2 linked regions of the Xenopus tropicalis genome follow. The protein of the gene in region 2 interacts with the protein of the main gene of each other region in a biochemical or structural test. Links are inferred from orthologs where the notes say so. Each region holds a gene or a part of one and is shown on either strand. Other genes may lie near its edges.

Region 1 (4,220 bases), on a different chromosome or scaffold from region 2:
CAGCTAAATATTAATTTGTTTAAAAAACAAACTGCCATTATAAAGGAGCCCAAATACTAAAAGTTACTCTTGTTTCAGCCACATATTTACATTTAAATATTTACTACTTCCCTGCCTTACTTATTCAGCTCTTTTTTATATTATTCAGTATAAATAAAAACTTACACTTAAGATGGGTGTATCATCCACGTATTCGGATAGTAAAATAGTAGTGCATAAAGCTTGCTTTATGCACATAAATAGTGTTAGATAAGGTAAATAAATGTATCAAATACATATATAGTCTCACCATCCTGGGCAGTGTTGAGTTTCAGGCTTTTCCCTTTAAAGCTTAGCTCTCCTCCTCCCTCCACCTTTGTCTTTGCCAGGGAATCTGTCAACTGCGCAATATCTTCAGAAGCCATTGTCACACTTTTTCTCTCTTAATAAACCAGAGAAATAAGAAGTATAACCGAGAACCTGTTGAACAGGTAACACATCCCTAAGATTATTTTAACAATGTCATGATCTTAAAATAAATTGGGGTGGAGAACAAGCCCCATTACAAATGCTGTCCAGCCACCCTGCTATCCTGTTCTTATAAAAAAAATGCTTCTTCAAAGAAAATATAATTTAACGTTCTCCCTTATGATTATTTATTTCCTGAGTGTTCCTTGTGTGGGTGCATGAAAAGTATATCAATCATCAAAGTGAACTGTGCATGCATCAAAGCTGCAAACGAACACAAGTGCCAATGTGGAAGAGAAAGGCAGTATAAGAATCCACTACTGTGCATGCCCTGCCTTACCCCAACTCAATCCCACAGAATATATTCTATGGGAATAAATTCAGAAAAGGTATCTGTGAAGGTTCTCATTCATCCAGGTCACGGTATATATTGAATTTTCGCTAGTCATCTGACTGGCTTTCTCAATTGAGAAGTAAAACTCAGAAATTTTCAGCCATATAATCTGTGGATGTCCTGTAAAATATATCCTTGCAAATGGTGCTTACTGATGCCATTAGTTATATTAAGTTTGTATGTTTAGTGAAGTATTTGTGTCACAAAATCCACCAAAACTCTTGTATTATAAAATATAATAAAGCTACCTTCTGTCTTGTGATTTTATATGGAACCAAGGTGACTTCTAATAACCTTGTAACGTAACTACCGGAAGTACATAATATAATAATCAATAAACAAAAGAAACCTTAACATGAATTGATTTTCTGGCTTTGGGGGGGGGGGCAGTTTGCCATTAAGCTAACTATAGTACAGTGTCATTTTTATCTATTTACAGTGTCTACATTTTATAGCTTCCTTTTGCCTCCGCACCTTACAACTTTCAAAGAGGGTTAGTGATAAAAAATAGCAGTAAGGGCTGTGAATCACAGGGAGATTAGTTGCGCCGTGACAAATCTCCCTTTTTGTGGGCGACTAATCTCCCCGCAATGCCATCCCACCAGCTAGAATGTAATTCGCCAGTGGGATGGCATACGTGGCAACGCAATCTGGTGAAGTCGCCTTGAGAGGAGACTTCAGTGACTTCGGCCATCCCACCAGGATGTCACGGCGTGACTATTCAGTCCTAAGGGTGAAGCTACTAGTAGCAGCTTTTTAATTGCTACTAAAAGCCAGAAAAATACCCTGCCATAGACAATACTGATAATTGCCTCTGCTAAAACACACGTAGAGACTGTTCTCAGTAAATGATCAGCATTGTCTGTTTTAGTAGCCATGACAAGTAGCTGCTACTAGTAGCTCCGTCTGTGTTCACCCTAATGCTACAATTATTACTTATCTATTCAGGCCATCTCCTATTCAGGTTCTCATTCACACATCTATGCAGTTGTTAGGACTAGGCCACACGAAGCGTAGATGCGCTTCTCTCAGCTCTGCGTTTTTCCATCAGACTAAGTGAAGGGGATCCACTTTCCTACGTGCCTGCACTAAAAACTACAAAACCCGCTTCAGTGCAGCCCCACAAAGCAGAGCAGAGTGTATGTCCGCAGGTAAAGTGCTGGCTTTCACACTGAATGAAATGAAAACATGAATGAAAATCATAACGTTATACAAGTTATTTTATAGGGGAGCTACCCCCGTGACTGAAAAGGCAAAGTATAATTACAAGAATATACTTATTTAGAATAATTACACTTTTAAATCACATAATGTTCATGGTCAGCATCTGACATGACAGTATTTAAAATCCTAGACCAGGGGTGCCCAGACTTTTTCCCTCAGCGGTCTACTTTTGACTCCTCCCCGCGTACGTATGCGACGCAGCGTAGCTACGCATACCCAATAAACGCGTCGCACTTCTGCATTTCCCGGCTTAGACGCGGTCCAGCAGAAATCCATGGGGGATCGACCGGTGGACCGTGATCGACGTTTTGGCCACCCCTATCCTAAACTCTCCAGTTAAAGAGAAGCAGAAAATCTGAAGAGGCCAAGAGGGTACATAACTGGGGGGTGATACAGCCCTCTAGCTGAGCCTGAACTACAACTCTCAGCAGCAGGTTTTCCTCTGATGACTGAAAGTATCTAGTAGTCACTTACACATTTCCCTTTTAGCAAGTAAGTGACCCCACTGGCGCTTAGAGCCCAGGGCAATGCCCTTTCGCCTCCCCCTCCCACATGACGAGGCCGGACTAGCAAATCTATGAATGACACATCCCGCCAAAACCACGAGGGTTGCGGAGAGCGGCCCCCCGGCTGTCAGGGAGCTGCAGGCTTCGGTAGGGATGGCAAATGTTAGGGAACCCGCATGGTCTTTGCCCTACACTGCTATCATACTGCCCAAAGTCCCGCTTTTGCTAACACAGCCCCGGCTCGGTACTTACAGTCCGCAAGTACAGCTTCCCAGTCGCCGGTCTCTTACTCTCGCCAAAATCTCGCGAGAATTGGTCACGCCTGCGCGGAAGCGCAATGACTCACCCATTAGTCTCCCAGTGGGAGCGACAGGCCGGCAGAACTTTGTGTTACAATGTCGCAATTAAACTCTGTACTTCCTCTGCCCACACCTCCTACTTCGGTTAGAGAGCATAAATAAAAGACTTGTCTTCTGTGTTGGTTTTTCGCCACGCCTTCCTCCGCCCCAGCTACCAATTCCTTTAGAAGTCGTTCATATATTTTGCTGAGAGGGTACAGAAGGAGCCTTTCCTGTTTGCTAGCAGAATGTGCCGCCATCAAAGCCTTCTCTCCTAAGTTGATCAAAAAAAAGGAGAGGCGCAAACTAGGGCCAAGTAAATTGTCATCATTTTATTTTTTTATTCCCCATTTATTGAACTTTATGTCAGTTACAGTAAAATTATCACAGGAAGATATTCTTTATGAAGAAATTGTAAATCTATGCTTATATAATCACTTAATGATCAGTAATGGTTTATCTAGAATTGTCAGTGACGCACTGATAAATGCTGAACCGAAAAAACATAAAGGTGTTAAATCCTGTTAAATAAAAAAAATAAATATAAAGAGGTTTACAAGCTTATCATAAAACAATATTTATACGTTTGCATATACAACTTCTAATCTATGCTAGTATTTTCATTAGCTGAACCAGTAGTCATAATTATTTCCATAAATCGTACTGGCTGATCCAACACCATCCGACAAAAGCGCTTAAAACTAAGGTTAAAGACTCCCTTTTGGAGCACTCACCCAGCACCTGATCTGGGAACTGGCACTTATACTGTAATGTCACCCACTGTGACCTACAGCACTTATATTTGCCTATTTGTGTCTGTAAGTTACCCTCCCATATAGATTGTAAGCTCTACGGGGCAGGGACCTCCATCCTCTTGTGTCCTTGACTCTAACTTATTGCAGCTGTATTTATCTTGTATTTATTGTTATACTTTGTATTTATCTATTATTATCTTATTAACCACCTGTTTGTATTAATGTATTCTACTGTACAGCGCTGCGTACATAAGTAGCGCTTTATAAATAAAGATATACATACATACATTATGCAGTTTATCCCCTAACCATCTCACATATCTGTTTCACCTGGTTCCAGAAGGGAATTATTACTGGGCAGAGCAGCCAAATATGTTCTCCATATTCTCCAGACCAGCCAAATATGTTCTCCAGAGCAGCCAAAGTTTCCCATCTCTGTTTCACATCTTCATCAGTTATCTGAAGGTATCAGACCCATTTTATAGAACACTGTTGGTGTTCAATACCAGCAAAATAGTAAAATATTAGAATTTGTATTTAAATTATAAGAAAATTA
Region 2 (3,687 bases):
TTTTTGGCACAAGTAAACAGTTCTGACAGTTGCTATCATTCATTTAGCTTTCTGAAGTAAAAGACTTAGAAGATGACGCATGCCTTGCCTTTGCAACACTGGATTTAGTTGACGGAAAAACAGAGGATGCAATAATAGCATTTGATGCTGTTAAGAACGTTGTTGCCTATTGGAACCTTGCTTTGGTATGTGTTACTACTCTGCATCTTCTGTGTTTAGTTTGACACACTTCTGTTTTACATTAAAATTGCCTATATGTAATTTAATTTTATGAAAAAACTATCACAAGTAGCTGATGAACTGATGTGCTGGCTATAATGAAGCAGATGATATTATCAACACAGTATTGCTTTTAACCTGATGAAATAGAAATCTATTCTTGTAATTTTTTTTGTAGATATACCAGCGTAAGGCCGAAGAAATTGAAAATGATTGTTTGCCAGCAGAAGAACAGGAAGAGTTCCAGGAGTGCCTGCTTAAGTGCAAAGGCTATTTGAAAATGATTTGTGATGAATATAATGCTGATCCTTCCATTGCAACATTGGTAATAAGACAATTTGAATAAAAGGGCTATATGTTGATATTATTTAGATATAATATTATAGTTCTGTCGATAAAGTCTATACTTGCTAGTGTTTATCCATTAGTCCCCTAAATTACCCGGAGAGGCCCATTTATCAACATTCTGATTTTTGTCGTTTTAAGTTTTTTGAAACCACACAAAAAATTTGAGTTTTAGAGCAAGATGTCAACTTTATGGACATTGGTAAATATTAACAAGGCTTTGGCCTTTCTCCATCAAAGTGTTAGATTATCTGTGTGGCTAAAGACACAGAGCTGTTCATACATCCTGTTGGCTGGTCACAATTATAATGACTGAGGTGCTTACTGGTCCTTGTAATACCATAATCCAGCTCTAACTAACTCATTTCTTTGGTGACTTGGCCCAACGGCTAAAGTCTCTGAACAGCTAGTTAAGGTCCACCAATGAAGTAGGCAACTTGCTTAAAGATGACCTTACCAATTGGCATGCAGAACATAGTGTTTTCTGTATATTTGCTGATATTTCTTAACAATTCACACCAAGGTCTTGTTTGTCTTTAATGTGATCTAGAGAATATAGCGCTGAGCACACAACATGGCAGTGAGGCCTAAAGTAGTGTTGTCATGCATATAGAAGGTAAAAATAAGTTAGTTACATTTTCACTAAAATGCTTTCAATGCTGTCTTGTATATTCCAGATAGCTTCCTAAGAAGCTTCAGTAGTGGGTAAATACTGTAATACTTCAGTAGCAGGTAAATACTGTAGTTGTGTTTTAAATCTTTAAAATGGTGGCTGATTATTTAGAGTAGAAGCCAGTCAAGTATATTTATACTTAACATTGTTGTCATAGTACCGATGCCTTTACTGTGTGGAAATAAATATTCTTTGATATTGCTATAGATATTTGCAAGCAGAAATTCACTCTCAATTGTTAAACCGTAATATTTTGTTTTACTACAGTTGCCAGTTCCAGTTGAGACTGTGATTGAGATGCTGGAGTCAGTGAAGCAGAATCTTGGAGAAGCGATGGAAGATCGTAGCCTGGGCTTTGTGGAAAATCATTCAGCAATAAAACATTCCACACCATCACCCTCCAAGCTGTCCATATCGCCCAGCAAACCAACTCGGGTATTTTATTAAAAAAATGCAGCTGAATTTTGATTATCTACCTTTTCTTGTCAATGAATACAGTCTTATTTGCTTCATATAAGTGTATGTAGAAGCCAATGATGAAACAAATTGCTAGAGAAACTGTCCTGTTACTTAATTGCTCAGGATATTTCTTCTGGTGGCTTTGCTGTGGGTGTCAGGGAGAAGTGAGGTAGAGAGCATTGAATTAAGGGTAGTGGCTTTGCACATATGAGTCACATGTTTGCAAGGGATATGCTCATGTCATGGGCTGCAATGCCATTTCATTCATAGCAAGGCACAGAACGATTACACCAACTTTATACTTTGGGCTAACATACCCCTTTAAGAGAAGAGTGAATATATTGCAAAGCTTAATAAACCCAATAATTTATACAGCTAAATTGTATATTAATATGTAGGGTATTGCTGGAGATTTGCAATTAATATCCATAATTAGCTGGCAATTCTGATTAATAACCGAGAACCAGCAGCTGGTTTTGGGTTCCTTTTGTGCCCTTAGATGCCTACAGTTTGTTTAACATTTGTAAACTGTATGCAAAATTACCTCTAAAGTCAGTTTCTTAAAATTCTTTAGAAATAGGGTAAATTAAGGTGGTTTAATTGGTTACAATTTAACTCAAACTACTTATGTACCAGTATGTGATGTTCTTTTAAAGCTTTCATGGCAGCCCAAGGCAACTACAGCCCATTAGCAGTGGAAAATCTGTGCCTCCATAGATGCAAAACTATGCAAAAAAAAATTAGCTGGGAACAGAAAGTATACAATTAAATCCTGATTTTGTCAAACAAGAAGGTAGTGATAATAAAAACTGAACTATTTTATTTTTGTTTTTTTAGTTTTCTCCCAAAACGCCACCACGTTGGGCAGAAGATCAAAAATCTCTACTTGAAGTGCTCTGTAATAAAGTAGAAGCATTGAAGGTAAGGGGAGGTTAACATTTGTTTAATAAAAAGGTAACCAAAGCTTTTACTGTCTAGTGCCACTTAAGGGTGCCTACATGCAATCCTAACATGCTTTGTTCATGCTTGGTGGCCCTAAATTACATTCTACACTTATGTGGCTTTCCTCCAGTCCTGTTGCATAGAACTTATGGTGTTAAGCCTAATAACTTCTATACCTTCAGCTGTCACAGTTTCTGCTTTTTCTACAGCTACCATTCCTGCATTCCATACACATATTTATATGATGTACACTTTTACTTTTAATATTTTGTTATTTTGTCTTAAAGAAAGAAGTTCAAGAGCTGAAACACAACAATTCGAATGCAAACGCTTCCCCTCATAGATGGCCTAATGAAGGATTTGAGCCTGACAGTGTTGCTGATGGCTACCAAGGAACTCAAAGTTTCTATACAGTTCCCCTAACAGGTGAGGCATAACATATTATTCATTATTGTATGCTGCTTGGCAGTGAAAGGCTCCCTGACATTGTTTTGATTTTGAATTAAAGGAAAACTATACTTTCAGAAAGAATACTTAACCAACAGATAATTTATATTATAAGTGCCCTAATAAATAATCTTACCAAATTGCCATGTACATATCTGTACATGTGACCTTTTTACATCTTTTCCCCTTAAAGCTACCATTTTCTGATGTTTTGTGTGCTCTTTCAGTGATCACTTGACAGGAAATAATACAGCTTTATCTAACAACAGAAAGAAATAAGGTGGGGTTGAAATCTTTCACCTGCATGAATTTAAGTTTTGCAGGTGACAAAGGGTCTGGTTATTATCATTAAAGTTTATGATGGAACAGTTGCATGAATTTTGTTCGCCATAGCAGGCATATCCTTACCTTAAGTGCAGTTGAACATGATTGGTACAGGTATGGGAACCCTAATCCAGAATGCTCGGGACCTGGGGTTTACTGGATAAGCGACCTTTCTGTAATTAGGATCTCCTACCTTAAGTCTACTAAAAAAATTATTTAAACAGTAATTAAACACAATAGGATAGTTGTGACTCCAATACGGGTTAATTATATCTTAG

Evidence for each region. The genes of interacting proteins can lie anywhere in the genome.
Region 1: the proteins of ranbp2 (region 2) and rangap1 form a complex in vitro, tested with the Homo sapiens proteins (5 studies listed by BioGRID and IntAct, with this or other methods). The link is inferred for Xenopus tropicalis from reciprocal best matches to the Homo sapiens genes RANBP2 and RANGAP1.

What each region holds. Positions count from the first base shown.
Region 1 is NC_030680.2:121,811,196-121,815,415, forward strand, and holds the start of rangap1 (ran GTPase-activating protein 1), read right to left. Parts: upstream 2,852-4,220; 5' UTR 2,824-2,851; intron 2,516-2,823; exon of another isoform or gene 2,282-2,515; intron 460-2,281; exon of another isoform or gene 422-459; coding exon of another isoform or gene 405-421; coding exon 290-404; intron 4-289; coding exon 1-3. UniProt on the Homo sapiens protein: GTPase activator for RAN. Converts cytoplasmic GTP-bound RAN to GDP-bound RAN, which is essential for RAN-mediated nuclear import and export. Mediates dissociation of cargo from nuclear export complexes containing XPO1, RAN and RANBP2 after nuclear export.
Region 2 is NC_030678.2:109,294,930-109,298,616, reverse strand, and holds part of ranbp2 (ranBP2-like and GRIP domain-containing protein 4), read left to right. Parts: intron 1-47; coding exon 48-185; intron 186-397; coding exon 398-544; intron 545-1,504; coding exon 1,505-1,672; intron 1,673-2,533; coding exon 2,534-2,617; intron 2,618-2,925; coding exon 2,926-3,064; intron 3,065-3,687. UniProt on the Homo sapiens protein: E3 SUMO-protein ligase which facilitates SUMO1 and SUMO2 conjugation by UBE2I. Involved in transport factor (Ran-GTP, karyopherin)-mediated protein import via the F-G repeat-containing domain which acts as a docking site for substrates.